2 linked regions of the Diceros bicornis minor genome follow. The main gene of each other region encodes a partner of the protein of the gene in region 2 in a complex. Links are inferred from orthologs where the notes say so. Each region holds a gene or a part of one and is shown on either strand. Other genes may lie near its edges.

Region 1 (7,945 bases), on a different chromosome or scaffold from region 2:
AAAAGCAATGTGTCACCTTCGCAGCTTCCGGCACCTGCAGAGGAGAGGAAGGGGGTCTGTTTGCACTGGCAGAGCTCTGCCCAGCTCTAGACTCACCCCCTTGTTAGCATCTGGGAACCCCATTCTCTCCTAACACTCCAGGGAGGCCCCAGCCGGCCAGGCCCACATGATGCCACCCCATGGCCTCGCTGTGGAAGGGAGGGGTGGTGAGAAGCACCTCAGACAAGGTTCCACTATGTCCCCTGGCCTCTCAGAGCCCATAAGGTGGGACAAATGTCTACCACAGGGGCTTCTAGGAAGGCCCGGAGCTTTGCAAATTGGCAAGCTATCTCATTTCTACTCCAGGCAGATGTCACCTCCTCCAGGACATCTCTGGCCTCTCAGAGACATGTCAGGTTCCCCTTACCCCAGCCCTTGACACCCTCTGCTGGCATCACGTGTCCCCGTGTCCGACTCCTGCACTAGAACGTGAGTTTGTTTATGCTGACCCCAGTGCCAGCAGACACTGGGTAAATATTTGTTCAACACGTTAACAGCTTCCCCTTCCCTGGTTCTTCTCCCACTGGCAGGCTCACCCTGGCCCGGCTCCAGGACAGGCTGTGATGCCTTCCCGAACAACTCCTCACCTGCAGGTGTCTGGGTTGAGCTCTAAGCCCCGCCCTTGGCAACGGAGGAAGCTGCGGCGTCGGCAGCGACAGCGGCAGGTCCGGGGGTCAGGGCGCTGGCGGCGCTGGGGGCAGCGTGGGCAGAGGGGCCTGGGACTGGAGTGGGATGGGTGATGTCAGCTGGGGAGGGTGCTCCGGGGGCAGAGTCCCAGCCCGGAACAGAGCGGGGCTGGGGACGGTGGCGGGGAGTGGAAGCCCTAGGAGGAGAAGCAACATGTCTGGGGCGGGAAGGAAGAGTCTTCCCAGGGGCTGGGGGTGGGTCAGAGCACACAGCTGGGGAAGAGAGAGGGGGACGCCAGTGCGAGGAGAAAGAGGGGAAGGGACACAGCTTCCTGACACACTCCATGGCCACACGTTGTTACATCCTGGGCACTGGGCCTGGGCTCCAACCCACCTCAGCAGGAGCCCAAGAGACTCACCTGTCTGGCTTCACAGCACTCTCTTTTTTTTTTGGTCTGAAAAGTAAGAGACAGAGACGAGGAGGAGAAGGATGAGGAAAACCGGACATCCTACTCTCTTGCCCCAGATCCCAGGCCTACCCTGGCTCTACTCTTGGGACACCTGGTCCCCACTGTGTCCCACCATGCCAGCACCCCCCAGGTTTAGTCTCTGTGGGCTCCGAAGTGGGGCCTGGCTGGCACCTGCATTCACATTGGCTGTGTTCTTCCAGAGACATCTCCCCCAGCTGGCTGCTTGGGTACCGGATCATGAGGATCTGTGCTCGGAAGGACAGGGAGAGAGATGGTGAGAGGGACAGCGAGACAGAGAGAGGAAGGGATGCTTCATGAGCTGGAGAGAGAGGAGCTCGCCCACCAGCCAGGACTCAGAGCGCCAGCATCCACCCCAGCTGGGCACGCTCCACCTGCCCCAGTACCTGCATCCGGACTTGGTGCTGCCCCGTGGGCACACACTCCAGGCCGTCGTCCGGGCAGCAACCGCCGCAGCGCTGCACAGTCACGCAGCTTGGCACCAGTTGCTTGGCCACAGTGCCCATGAGCTCCACAGTCAGGGGCACGACCACCTCCCGTGGCTGACAGGTGGCACGGGCATACACATCTATCCATGACACCACTGGAGACAGATGCATGAAGGTTTAGTCCCACTGGGTTTCCTGCAGCTGCTCCCTACTTCCCCTACCCCGGCCCAGCAGCTGCTCTCCCTAGTTCCCATGTCACAGCCCCCCTCCACTAGCCCCCTCTGCCCTCCCAACTTGTCTTCCCTGCCCTGTTCATTCAGAACCCAGGAACCCCACTGCCTCACTGTCACCTTCTGTGAAATGGGCAGAATCAGAGTTTGCATCCTACAGAGCAGCTGTGATGACACAGACAATGGACACAAAGACCCTGGAATCAGGGCAGTGGCAAGCCCACCAGTGCTGACTAGTGCAAAGTTGTTGTTACTATTACCTTTCTTCTGGTGGCCAGGGGCATCAGGCTGGGAGACTGGGGCCTGTGGAAGAGAAGAGACCTATAACCAAGGTGCATCCTAGGAAGGGCTGGCCCTGTTGCTGTCCCCAGGGCTCTGCCCTTGGTTCAGGAGGCTTCACCTCCTCTTTGACATTTTTCCAGAGTGCTCTGTTCCTGGGGCCACTCTAGCCTTACCTGGCCTGTCCTGGCCACCTGGGACCTGCCCTGGCCCCAACCCGCCAGGCGAGCTCTGCCGGCTGCATCCTTCTCCCAGCCTGGGGGGCCGGGCTTTTTTGGAGGCCGTGGGTCGGGAGGGGGCACAGTGGGCACCGAACCAGCTTCTGCGGCGCCCAGCTCCTGCGGCGCTGAGGCGGCCCCGCCCCCGGCTGCGCCCAGGGGACGGGGTGGGACGGGGTGGGGCGGGGGAGTGGCCCCGGGGCTGGGCTGGCGGCGGGTGGAGAAGGACACCTCCCGGGGGATGCCCGGGCCAGGTCCCCGCGACGCCCCTGTCGGCGGCCGGACCCCGCGGATCCCCGGCCGAGGCCGCCCCGCGCCTCCCCACTTCCGCCAACCTTGAGAGAGGGCACGGCGGGCGGGCGGGATGTCGGGGACGCACGTACCTGGGCGGGGGCCAGCTGCAGGAGCGCGGCGAGCAGCAGCCGGCGGAGCAGGGGGCTCATGGTGCCCGCGGGGGCCGCGCGCCGGGGGCGCCCGCATCGCCCTAGCCCGGCGGCGCGGGGGGCGGCGGCAGCCAGAGCCCCATGGCGCGGGCCCGGGCGCGGCGGGCGGGGGCCGGGCGCGGGGGGCGGCTCCTCCGCGGCCCCCTCCCGAGCCCTGGGCGCAGGCAGCGCAGCGCAGCGCAGCGGCGGCGGCCGGAGGAGCCGGGCGGGCGGGCGGCCGGTGGCGGCGGCGGGCGGCGGCGGGGACGGCGGGGACGGCGGGGGCGGCGGGGGGCCGGGCCCGGGCTGGCGGGCGGGCGGCTCATGTGACCCAGACACGCGCTCCCCACCCGGGCGCGGGGCGGGGGCGGGGGGGCGAGGCCGCCGGCGGGGCCCGCCCCCTCCACACACCCCCTCCCGCCGCAGCGGGGGAAAGGGGATGCGCCGCCCAGGGGGCCGGGCTCCTGGGTCGCTGCCGCCAGATCCCGGAGGGCGGGGCGCTGTCCCGCGTCGAGGCACGGGCGGGGGGCACTGGGCCTGAAGGAGGGAGGTGGACACGAGCTCTGAGAAGCACTTTATTGCACGCGCTTTGGGGAGTGAAGAGTCCCGGTAGGGAAGCGAGGACGGAACACACAGCAGGCCCCGTCCAGGTGCGCGGCTCAGGGGCTGGTGCCCGGGGGCACGATCCGGGGGCTTGGGGGCGGCCCAGGCGATGGCTGCAGCGGCTGCCTCTGCCGGTGCCCCTGCTGGAGCCTGGCTCTGTTGGCCCTGCAGGAGAGAGCACCCGTGGGGGTTGGGACAGGGACCCTGGAGGGTGGTGCCAGGACAGCGAGGACAGGACAGAGCAGGGACAGACCTGGCCCGGGCCCGCGTGTCATTGTAGATGGCTGTGATGATCCGATCCTTTTCATCCATGAAGCTACGGTGCACCTGCTCCAGCTTCCTGCAAGGGGGTTACAGTTAACTCTGGGTCCTCCAATCCCTGCCGTCCCCACATCTCCCCCCCACCCCACTCTAGGGTCTTACAGCTCTACATCCTTGGGGACCTCAACCTAACTGCCTGTGCTAGGTGGGGAGAGGGGCACAGAGTGGCAGGGGCTTGTCCAGGGTCCAATGGCTATCCTGCTGAAGATGGTGACAGCAGCTCTGAATGTCAGGGTGCTCCTCGCAGGAGACTAGAAAGGGCTGTACATCTCACCCCATCACTGAATGAGGCAGGCTGCTCAGTGGACACTGGCCTTTAGGCATCTTTGCTGTAGAACCTCTGTCATGGTGTGCATGAGAGAGGGGCGGGGAGACAGCCAACTGCCCACCCAGTGAGTCACAGTGCATTGCCTTCTCGTGCCTGACTTTGGTCAGCTCCAGCACTCCCTGGCAGCCAGTGCCACAGATTTACATTCGAATTATAAAAAACTGAAAATGACATTAGCCCTTAGTGCCGAGCTGCCTTGCCAAGTAAGGAGAGGCTCCAGAGACCTATTTCATACAAGTCTTAGCTTGCGAGACACAAGAGTGTGGGCCACAGGGGTGGTGTGGATGGACGGCTGACCACACTGGGATTCCCCCTGCCCTCCACCCTCTGCTCATGACCCCAGGGGTGCACCTGAAGGCGGCGTAGTGCAGGCCCATGCCTGCCAGCATGATCAGGAGGCAGTACCCCAGCACCCGCTTGTTGTGTCTGCGCTGCTGCTGCCTCAACTCTGGTCCCTGAGGCCTCACGCCATGAAACTGGGCCCAGTACTGTGCATTGGGGGGCGCCCAGGAGCTGCTGGGAGGGAGAAGAAGCGACAGTGTGGGGATGAGGCTCCCCAGGAGACTTGGGGGGCAAGCTGGGGGCAGGACTACTATACCTGTGTGCTTGATAAGCAGACCCGGGATAGGGTGTGGTTCCTGGAGACCTGGGGGGAGTGGCTGACCAGAGCTGGTGGTCGTAGCTGCGGCGGCTCTGCTCACGGCTGAGCACCTGGTATGCTTCACTCAGCTCCACAAAGCGGCTGTGCAGGGCTGGGTTCCCGGGATCTCGGTCAGGGTGCAGCTGAGGTGGGCAGGACTCCCCTCATCTCCCTTTCCATGCCCCTTCCCAGGACCCATCCCAGTAATGTCTACCCACAAGGGCTCAGATCATTCCCAGAAGCCCCGCCTGGGCAGTGACCCTCACTCTCAGGCCTGCCCACCCCTCCAGAAGGCCAGAGAGTCAGGAAGCACAGACTCCTGCCTGCTCCCCTTGTTCAAGCCCTCCCCACCTGCTGCCTAGCTCTCACTATGTGCCCTGGTCCAGGCTTTCTCAAGAGCAGGCAAGTCAAGAGAACCAAGCCCATCAGACAGGGCCCCTGGCTCCTGCACCCAGCCTGTCCCCCCACCTGGCCAGACCTCTGCCCTTGGGGCACCTCCCACTCCCTATGCATGCTGAGGGAATGTGGCATCCACCAGAATGAGCCACTCTGCTCCATTCCTGGGAATTTGGAGTGCACCCCATCTGGCTCAGACTTCCCCTCCCCCTCCCCACCTAGGACCACTGGTACCTCTTTGGACTTGGAGAAGAAAGCTCGTTTAACTTCTTCAGTGCTGGCACTAGGATGCACCCCCAACAGTTCATAGTAGTTACTGGGGCCAGACCTGTGGAGAGAGGCCCAAACCTGTAGGGGCTAAGGAAACACAGAGGGTAGCCCTTCCCTGCCCCTCCCAGCCCCCCTGGGCCACACCCTTTAACTCAGCAGCCAGGACCTGAGGGGGCTGAGGCAGGTGTCAAGGGAGAGCTATCAGCAAACCATCCCTCCCCTCTTGAGTGTTTCGGGTATGGTGCAGATCAGAACGTCTGAAAGTGTAGTCCTCAGACCCCTTGCATCAGAAACACTTGAAAAGCTTGTTTAAAAAAACAGATTCCTTGGGCCAGCCCCGTGGCTTGGCGGTTAAGTGCTGCGCTCCGCTGCTGGCGGCCCGGGGTTCGGATCCTGGGCGTGCACCAATGCACTGCTTCTCCAGCCATGCTGAGGGCGCGTCCCACATACAGCAACTAGAAGGATGTGCAGCTATGATATATAACTATCTACTGGGGCTTTGGGGGGGGGAATAAATAAAAAAAAATAAAACCAGATTCCTAGGGGCCGGCCCGTGGAGTAGTGGTTAAGGCCGGCGTGCTCCGCTTCGGTGGCCAGGATTTGAGGGTTCGGATCCCCGGGCTCAGACCTACACCACTTATCAGCCATGCTGTGGCAGCGACCCACATATATAGTGGAGGAAGACTGGCACAGATGTTAGCTCAGGGCTAATCTTCCTCAGCAAAAAAATTTAAAAAACAGGTTCCTGAGCCCCACCTCTATTCCTGCAGATCCGAATCTACAGAGCAGGGCCCTGGAATCTGCATTTTTGTAACTCCACCCCCCACCCCCACCCCCTACCCGCAGTGGGTCATGCACAGTGATGCTTGCCAATCACTAGAGTTGTGAAAAGTGCATTGGGTTTGGTTTGGGCTCAAATTTCAGATCTGCCTCTTAACTCGCTGGACGACCTTGGGGGTCGTTCCTTAATGTCTGATCCTGTGTCCCCAGCAGTGAAGGTGAGGGTTACCTGACACAGCTTGTAAGGTGCCTGACAGAGCAGAGAGATCACGACTATCTCGGCACCCACGGCAGGGCCTAGAGCTGGGCAGGCCCTCAGCAGAAACCCACTGAACGACCGGGCGGGCCCCTGGCGCCCGACTCACCGCTGCCGGGCGGCCGTTGCGAGGAGCCGGGTGGGAGGGCTGCGGGGCCACGACCGGCACAGGCGCAGGGGCAGCAGGGGCAGCATGGCGGCAGGCGGGCGGCTGGGGAGAGGAAGCCACAAAGGAGTGCATTGGGGCCAGGATGGGCCAGACTTCACGCACTCCGGGGGCCGAGGGAAGGGGCCTGGCCCGGGTTACTTCCGAAGGAAAACTGAAGCAGGCCGGGGCACCCAGGCGCGGGTGGGGCTTCCTTGTTCAGGACCAGACCCCAGTGTTCTGGACCTGTCCCCTGCCTCTGACCCGGCGTCCAGGACCCTTCTCCACGTCGGCCTCCGCGTCTGGACAACCAGCCCTGGAAGCCAAGAACCCCGGCCCACCCGGGGAGTTTGCGGGGCGAGCCAAGGAGGAGCCACGACCAAGCCCCGCCCCCGCTGCGCTCACGGACTCCGCGGCCGCAGCCATTTCCTGTTCCTATTCAGGCCCCGGCCCACATTCTCATTGATTTAGGCTCCACGACCACGCCCACTTGCCCGGAAGTTGATGCGACGGCCCCGCCCCCGCCCGCCCATTGGCCTTTGGCGCCTCGGGCCCACCCACCGAGGGCAAGGTCCGCGGAGGTGCGGAAAGACGCGGGCGCCCACTGGGTAGGCGAGTGGGACGGAGGCTGACCCTCAGTGAGGCTTTCTGCCCCGGCGTCGTCGCCCTGTCCCGCAGACATGGCTGCTCCTCCGCTCTGCCGGAGACAGAGCAGCTTCCTCCCCATAGTTGGCCCACACCCTCACCAGAGCCTGGCAAGGGGGCACGGCCCTCCTCCCAGCTTGCAGAGGGGATACTGAGGCTGGGCTTTTTTTTTTTTCCCCAAGTCACTTGTCCTGTCTCTCTCACCCACCCAGGGCTCTCCCAGCGGCCCCTCTCGGTCTCACGGAAACAGCAGATGCCAGAGGAATCAAGTCCTTTATCAAGAATAAAGTCCTTTATTGTCTTCCGAGCTGTAGTGATTGGGCTGGGACCCTAAGGTGACTCAGGTGGGACTTCCCTGGACCCGGTTGTAGAGGAAGATGGCGCCTTTGGCCGAGGGGCAGAGCTCAGCCCACATTTCTGTCTCCTGCAACCTCCGCACGCTCTATGGGGAGACAGACCCAGACATCCCTCAGGTCTCCCGCAGGAGCTGTGCCCAGTTCCTGAGCCGCAGAGCCCTCTGTACTGCCCTGTCCCTAGGGAGACATGTCGAGGGGGCTGAACAGGTCCCTGGCCCTCTCCCTTGGGCTGAAGGCATCCCCAATGAGGCCTTGGGGCTCCAGAGGAAAGTTCTGAGAGATCTGGGAGCCTCCGTCTGATCCATCCCCAGGGGGCAGTCCTGGCCTCTGCAAGCCCCCACCCCAGCTCCTTGTCCAAGCAAGACACACGTTGCCACCTCGCACCTGTGTCTCCACAAAGATGATTCCCGTGGACTCGTGGGCCTCAGGTCCCCCACTCGTGTAGTGCTTCCTCACCTGCTCAGAAGTCAGGCTG
Region 2 (7,289 bases):
ATAAACCTTGGAGAAAACAACAACGAAAAACAATTAAAAATTATTATGTAAAATTAGCTTTATTATGAAAGACATTACATTCAATTTGGAAATGGCTATTATTTTCACGTACATCTTGATTTAACTTTATTAGTGTAGACTTCCTTCACAGAATTCACAAGTGAAGTATTTCCAGTTATAGCAAATTGTAAGTGTCAGCTGCTCAAAAATACAGGAAAAATGGGCCAGAAAAAAAGAGTCATGGCTTTAATCAAGGGTGTGGTGCCTTAAAATTAAGAAAATGAGACTTTGAGCTGGAGAAAAGGAGGACTGGTATCCTTCACAGAGGCAGAGACCTCAACATAGAGGACTTTCAAGTCCTCCTGAAAGTGTCTGAATTACTAGCATCTTATTATTCCCCCAGGATATTTGGAAGAAGGTAAATATACTCTTTAGGAGAAATGCATTATCTTTTTGTATTACCGAACCTCTGGTTATTTTACACTTCAGTGCACACACACACAATATTAATAACTGATAAATATTCAAAGACCTTATAGCACCTGCAGGTGAGCAGACCCCACCCATGAGCGCCCTTGAAGAGTGGATTTCTGATAAATCCACCAGACAGAAACTCAGCCCCTTTCACCACTCCCCAGAGATGCAGCCCCTCGTTCAGTTTGAAAGCTCTGATGCAGTTTAGAAAGTAGGTAGCTGTTTTACTGTGAGATGTCTGTTAATCAGCAGGAGAAGCCTGTGGTGTGCAAAGGGAACTACAAAGCCCAACCGCTGATAGAACATTCTCTAAACCCGGAGGTAAAGGAGTTCTCACCTTGCCAATATTTTATCTTGCTTTCTTTCTATCACATGTATGTAAATTTTTTAAAAAGTCACAAAAGAGCGCCACGATTTCTGCCTCATTTAAATAAAATAAAATCTAAGAGAAATCACAAGATCTCACTCGTGTGTCAAGGCTTCACAGATCTAAGTTGCTCCCAATAACAGAACTATCCTGCACTAGTCAACCACGTTTTTGAACAAAAATGAAGACGTATGTGTGAAGAAGAAAATCCAATCATTTTCGCTCCATTTTTTGGATTCACAGTAATTGACCTCGATTTACCTTTACATAACAGACGCATGGACTTCAGCAAGTTATTTAAATGCTCTAAACAATTATATTTCAATATAAGCGACATTTCAAAACAAAAAATATGTATTTTTGAAATAGAAAATATTCCACTTAATATAGTTATTTTAGCAACTTTCCCAACGATAGCGAGTCCTCAGACATTACGATTTCGCCTTGCCTCTCGGTTTAATAGTTTTACCAACCTAACTGGAACTATTACTAGTTATTTTAAAACTTCTAATTAGTCTTCCCACTGAGAAAGAATATTTCACTGTTACTGACTTTTGGGTTTAACAAGCTTTTTTTTTTTTTTTTTCCTAATATGCTCAACCCTACTGACTTTCCTTCCCGAGAATCATTGCAATAATTTATGTTACTGTTTTATTTCATATTTTACCTTTTCTCCACGATGCTTAAAAGAAAGGCGCTCCGAAATCTGGCTCTCTCTGCCCAGGGGGCCTGAACCAGAGGGCTTGGCCACTCATCCCCGCTGGGCAGAAACGGCAAGGACGAGCCCCTAAATCCCCCCGGGCTTTGACGCCTCGACGGGGCGGCCTCCACGCTGACGGCGGGTGTAACCTCCTGGCTGCCCATGGTTCCGCAGCCTGTTTTTCTAACGCCCGGCCAAGGGGCGGACCTCACCGATTCCTCAAGCCGCATCTTTTCGTCTAAATCCTCGTCCCTTTCTTCTCTCGGAATTTAAAGGCTAGGCTTGCCATTCAGAAACTTAACAGTATTTGGGTCCTTGGCTGCCCTCGTCGGTCAGGTTCACTTAGGTCGGCGACCTGGGCTGGACCGGCGGCAGAGGCCCCACCCGGGTGGCTGCGCGCAGCGCGCTCAGCCCCGCGGTAGACGAGCGGCGGGGAGGCGTGGACGCTCCTGGAACGTTCCTGGGGACAGTCGGGCTCCGGGGCCCGAAGTGGGTAGGATACCAGCGTTTGCCATCTCCTGGGATCCGTCTGCTCCCGGCAAGCACGCGACCCCTTCCAAGGTGGCTTTCCTCCTTCCCTCTCGAGGCGCGACGTCGTGGCCAGTGCCCAACATCGCCAACGTCCCGGCCTCAGCCCAGCCCCCGGGTAGCCTCGCGGGCGTTCTAGGAGCCGCTGATCCTGGCTCCGGAGGGCCCCACAGACCCGCGCCAGGCCGCCTGGGAGCAGGCTCTGGGTGTCAAGCAGGTCCAGGTGCGCGGTGCGCCCCGAGCCAGGAGCCTCGGCCGGGAGACCGGACCCGGGAGCCAGGCAGAGGATCAGCGACTTCAGCCGCAAAGGGGCAGCCCCAGCGCGGACCCGAGCGCTGCGCCAGCAGCTGTTCAGGGCGGCGATGCGCGCGGGCCCCCGCCTGCTGCTCTCCGAGGGCCCACACTGACTGCTCAGCGGAGGAGAAGGGGCGCCACCGCCCCAGGCGTGCCCACTGCAACTAGTGTCCGAGGTTCCTACCGAGGCTCGCTTCTCGCGGCTGCAGCCTCACCTCCCCGCTTGCACCCGGTCCCAGCCCCACAGGGTGTGCCCCCCGGCGGCCCCTTCCAGCCCCGGGCCCGGGCCGCGCCTCACCTGTGAAAAGCAGACCGCCGAGCAGCGCGCACAGCAAGACCCCGGTGTCCCAGCAGCTGATCATGGTGAGCGCGATGCGGCCTGCTCACCCGGTGCCCGCGCTCCTCGCGGGCCAACGACCCAGCCGCCGGAGCCTGTCTTCTCGCGCTCCGCCGCCCGGCCCGCGCTCCGGCGCTACGCCCCAAGCGCCCCTCTCCGCGGCTCCAGCCAGGGACACAATCACTTCCCCGGGTAATCCTCGCAGCCTGGCGTCCTCTGGCTGCTGCGCCCCAGTCCCGGAGCCCGCTCCGAGCCGCTGCCGCTGCCGCCACCGCCGGGGAGAAGCCGCGAGGAGTGTCCGTCCGGCGCGCTCGGAGCCTCCGGCGGACCTCGATTAAGAGGAGCCGAGGGCGGGGGCGATTTATAACCTTTCCCCAGCCCACTTCCTACCCCGGCACCTCCTTCCAGTGACGTCAAGGGGTCCCCCACCCCTCATCCGCCTCCCCACCTACCCTCTTCCTCCGGGACCTGATTCCCTACGGCTGCGGAGAGGGGCGGGGGCCGCGGAGGGCGGGTGGCCGGGGGCCGAGCGCGCGTCGGGGCTGAGAGCTAGCTCGCGTGGAGAGGCGCTGGCGACGCGGCCCGGGAGCGCGGCCCCGGCAGGTTCAGGGTCCTTGCTCTCGATCCTCCTGCCTCCGTCCCCTCCTCCTTTCCAGAGTGCGCAGGAAATCCTTGCAGGCTCCCTCCGCCCGGTTTACTCAGCCCTGGGGGCCGCCCGAAGCTGGGAGGGGGACAAGGCTGGAGCTCCGCTACCCGGCCCCCGGGGCGGAAAGTCCGATCATTGGGAAGCTGGCCGCGCCTCCGCGACGGTGTCCTTGGCACCGGCGCAGTCCGGCTCCCTCCCATTTCTTGCATTTCCCGCGCTGTCCAGCCGCCCCCGCCCCCCCGATTGTCCTCAGACGTCTAGGATGGCGCCGGAGACCCTCGGCACGGGGGACTGGACCTGGAGCACCCAAGGGGACCAGACGCTTACTTGGCACCTTCGGGAAGACAGCGAACCGCTCAGGTCCCTGGGGAGTGTGTATGAGTCTTTTTCGGCCACATAGATGCCCCCGCCCAAGTCGTTTCCTAAATTCCTAGCTTCCTTGAAGCAAAACAAGGAATAACATGATGACACCTTTTTAAAAGCTGAGGCGTGAAACTGCTCCTGCAACTTGTAAGGGCCGAGCACTTGAACTTTATTTCCCAAATGCTCTAAAAAATCTTTCTTATGGCAGCTTGCTACGCAAGATGAGTGACTCTCCTGCTCTTCGAACAAAACCCGCTGAAATTAATTTGAGGCACTAGATCATTTGTGATGACACTGATTGCGCATTGTTCTTCAATTATGTTTTCATTATCTTAAAGGCTGAAATCGTCCTAGGCTCCACGGAGCAGCCTCGTCTTGTCTCTGTAAATATCGCTGGTTTGAAAAATAGTTCAATAGGTGCCCTCCAGACGGGCATGATAAAAGGAACTGTGATGGTCCCAAACGGGCCACAGCCCCTTCCTGAAGGACTAGACTACCTCCCCACCTAGGAAAGTTGGGCAACCCGAAGTTGCCACACCTTTGGGTGGCAGAGCAAGGACAGGTCCCCCACCGGCTCCCCCACGCAGGAAGCGCACGTCCGCGCACCTGGACCGGGGCACCTCAGCCATAGCCCCTTATGGTTCGGAAGAAAGGGAGACCGCGCAGTCATTGCTCGCCTGTCAACTTCATCAGCCCTTTCTATTTTTCCAATGCTCCTCACCACTCTCCTTGGCTCCGTTTCTCTGCCTCCCTCAAGACTGATTCCTCCAAAACAACAGGATCATTCCGTGAACAGTTGGTGAATAGGGATCGCAGGGCTGGACGCTGACAGCAGATTCTTCTCCCAACTGGTCCCTGAGCCCAGGTCATAGTCTGGGACACACCGGAGAGCCAAAGTGCCCCTCTGCCTCACTTCAGAGCTGCTGGTCACTCCTGCGCTTTCTCCCAAGGAGAAGCTATCAGCATTGCCCTTCTGTAGCACCTCACAGGGCCTGACACTGTGTTAGGACCAAAAACACAGTGATGGGGAGATGTCTTCTAAGGGGCTTAGAATCTGGGGAGAAAGTTGACGTGTAAAGAGGCCATGACAATACAGTGCAAGGATCACGGTGCTGGGGGGGGCTTGGGTCCACACTGGCCCAGGGAAGAGGAGGTCAGTCCCCAGAGTTCAGGATGGCTTCTCAGGAGAAACACTTCGCTGACTCTGGGGGAAAGTGGTCCATAGTAAAACCTACAAAAGTTTAATAATACAACTTTTCAAATGCTATTTGATTCTTAAACACACGGACAACACTCCACATACCTGCTGCCAGAAATGAACCTATGTCGAGTTTATTTGTGAAGCCAGAACAGGTATTTGCTGCACAGCTAAAACAATCTTCATAGTCTAAGATGCCAGTCAACAATACTAACATATTGCTCAATTATTCAAGGTTAAAAGAATCATGGTTGAATCTAACTTAATTTATACCAAAATCATTCTGCGTTGAGTGGTCCTCCACAAATTCCTCAACTATTCTTTTGAAAGTTGCAGTCTTTTAATTATAGTCAGCAATGTCTTTTCAGCAATGTCTTTTCTCCTCACAAAGAACTCAAGATGCTACAAGTTGTCACAAGGTTTTGTTCCTGATTTCATTTTAGCTTAGATAAATTTTAGCATTAGATAAGTGAATATCTAAGCTAAAATGATGTGAGAATAAAGGTATGGCTCTCAACTCTCCCTCCAAAAAGAGATAATACCTTTGAATGAGAATGGGCTACAGCATTCTTCTAACTAAATCACTAACGAAAGAGGTTTTATAGATAATAGTGATGGAAAAGATCAATTTCAACATGCCTGGTGGGTATAAAAAGCTATTGAAGTAGACTATCTGTTGCTTCCTGCTCACATACAAAAGAACATTTCATCTCCTGCAAAACCAGACACTCTCTCCTGTTATCAGCTGCAAACACTCTCTTGAGGATTCTTTCTAGTCCCTATTCAGAGGCACACTGTTAGTAAAACCAACAGCTTTAATATTCAAGACTGGATAACAGTGTGGGAACATCAGTGTGAGAGACCGGTGGGACCCCAGGGCCTCATCTTCCCATAGGGGACCAAGCGTGGAGCTGCTCAGCTTGCAGTCACTGGGGCTCAATGAGAAATTTCATCCCCACGTGGGTCAGGGAGCTGCAGAACAAAGAAAAAATATACTCCATGGCTACACACTGCATAGCATAAATATGTATGGTTGGCTACAAGAACCAAATGATCTTATAAAACCTTCTGTGTTGTATGGAAAAAACACCCCTCAATACACATGCACTTGACAGTGCAGGTTCCTTGATCTAAGACGCACACACTCACAAACCTCATGTAGCAAGCTCTGTGGAGTTCAGCAGGCAGGCACAGTTATGGTTTAACTTGTCAGACGCTGAGTTCTGATGGAGCTCCCTAGGGGCCACTGGTTGTGAACAGCCTCCCTCCCCTCCTTTCTGCTCCAGAAGCTTCACTGTGTGCCTGGCTCTCTGTTCCTCCCGCAGGTTGACACTGCTGCTGTTTATCTCATTTTGATTTATTCAGGGTTTCAGCTTAGTTTTGAGGCTGTGTCCCCCAGCTCTGACTCCTAGTTAGCCCTGAACCTCCTTCTACTCCCCAGGGGCCATGACATAGCCACTATACTTCTGTTACTGCAACCGAAGATCAAAGGAGCCTTTTCTGTCGGCTACTTCACACCCTGGACTCTTAGAGAACTTGCTCTTAGTTAAAACCCCTGAGGCTCTTTCACAAGAGCTGTGATCTGGCTATACTTGTACAGCCACAGCTTTTGACAACTCAAATTGCAGACCCTTATACACACTCTTATTAAACTTCTTGTTTGATTTAATCCTTCTTTCTGGCCTTTTGAAATCTTTCTGATCTCCAATTCTGCCATTCGGTGCATTTATTATATCTCCTGCTTCAAATTATCCACAAATATGATAAATGTTCCTTCTGGATCATCATCAAAATCATTGACTAGGACTGAGCTGAATGAATGAATGCATGAATGAATGAATGAAGGGATCTGTAGTGGTTGAGTAAACCAAAGTATTCTCTGTGTCATTATCTCTAGACGTATGTTCACCAAGGGAGGTTGCATACGATCTTGTTAACATTTACCAAGTCAATATTCAGGAATAATTGACGGTCCCAGCAAGAGTAATAAGACAGGTAAGTTTTATTCAAGGTATTCCAGGAAACTTTAAAAAAAAAAATAAAAAAGGTCCAGACTGAGATAATTAGAGAAGATTGGGGCAGGAGAAAAGGCAAAACAGAATAAAAGAAGTTGGCTAAGGAAATCAGGATAATGGTCATCTAATCATTATAATTAACAATTTTGCAGAAAGTTAATTTTATCTTAGCATATAACTGTCAGCTATTGACTTTTTCTCTTATTTGAAAAAGTATTGTGTTATTTTCAATACACTCTTTTAGTTATAAAACATTTTAGACAGATGAAAAGATGGGGAGAGGGCTGGAGGATGAATCCTAATTCTATCATCACAACATCGCCACCAGGATCACTTTAATATATTTCATGTTAGTCTTTTTCATACA

Evidence for each region.
Region 1: the proteins of FLT1 (region 2) and VEGFB are in contact, whole or in part, in a crystal structure (PDB 2XAC), measured with the Homo sapiens proteins. The link is inferred for Diceros bicornis minor from reciprocal best matches to the Homo sapiens genes FLT1 and VEGFB. Residues at the interface, in NP_002010.2 of Homo sapiens: Tyr139, Glu141, Pro143, Phe172, Pro173, Tyr199, Ile202, Gly203, Leu204, Asn219, Leu221, Arg224, Thr226; in NP_003368.1 of Homo sapiens: Ser37, Trp38, Ile39, Tyr42, Thr43, Thr46, Cys47, Gln48, Pro83, Asp84, Asp85, Gly86, Leu87, Cys124, Arg125, Pro126.

What each region holds. Positions count from the first base shown.
Region 1 is NC_080770.1:8,750,598-8,758,542, forward strand, and holds the start of VEGFB (vascular endothelial growth factor B), read right to left. Parts: upstream 3,009-7,945; 5' UTR 2,752-3,008; coding exon 2,692-2,751; intron 2,115-2,691; coding exon 2,072-2,114; intron 1,737-2,071; coding exon 1,540-1,736; intron 1,381-1,539; coding exon 1,307-1,380; intron 1,121-1,306; coding exon 1,085-1,120; intron 863-1,084; coding exon 649-862; coding exon of another isoform or gene 627-648; intron 35-626; coding exon of another isoform or gene 13-34; 3' UTR 1-12. Other genes in the region: DNAJC4 (dnaJ homolog subfamily C member 4), read right to left, coding at 3,390-3,498, 3,587-3,673, 4,334-4,498, 4,581-4,765, 5,253-5,346, 6,434-6,519; uridine diphosphate glucose pyrophosphatase NUDT22, read right to left, coding at 7,455-7,556, 7,855-7,945. UniProt on the Homo sapiens protein: Growth factor for endothelial cells. VEGF-B167 binds heparin and neuropilin-1 whereas the binding to neuropilin-1 of VEGF-B186 is regulated by proteolysis.
Region 2 is NC_080748.1:11,708,689-11,715,977, forward strand, and holds the start of FLT1 (vascular endothelial growth factor receptor 1), read right to left. Parts: upstream 3,011-7,289; 5' UTR 2,726-3,010; coding exon 2,662-2,725; intron 1-2,661. UniProt on the Homo sapiens protein: Tyrosine-protein kinase that acts as a cell-surface receptor for VEGFA, VEGFB and PGF, and plays an essential role in the development of embryonic vasculature, the regulation of angiogenesis, cell survival, cell migration, macrophage function, chemotaxis, and cancer cell invasion.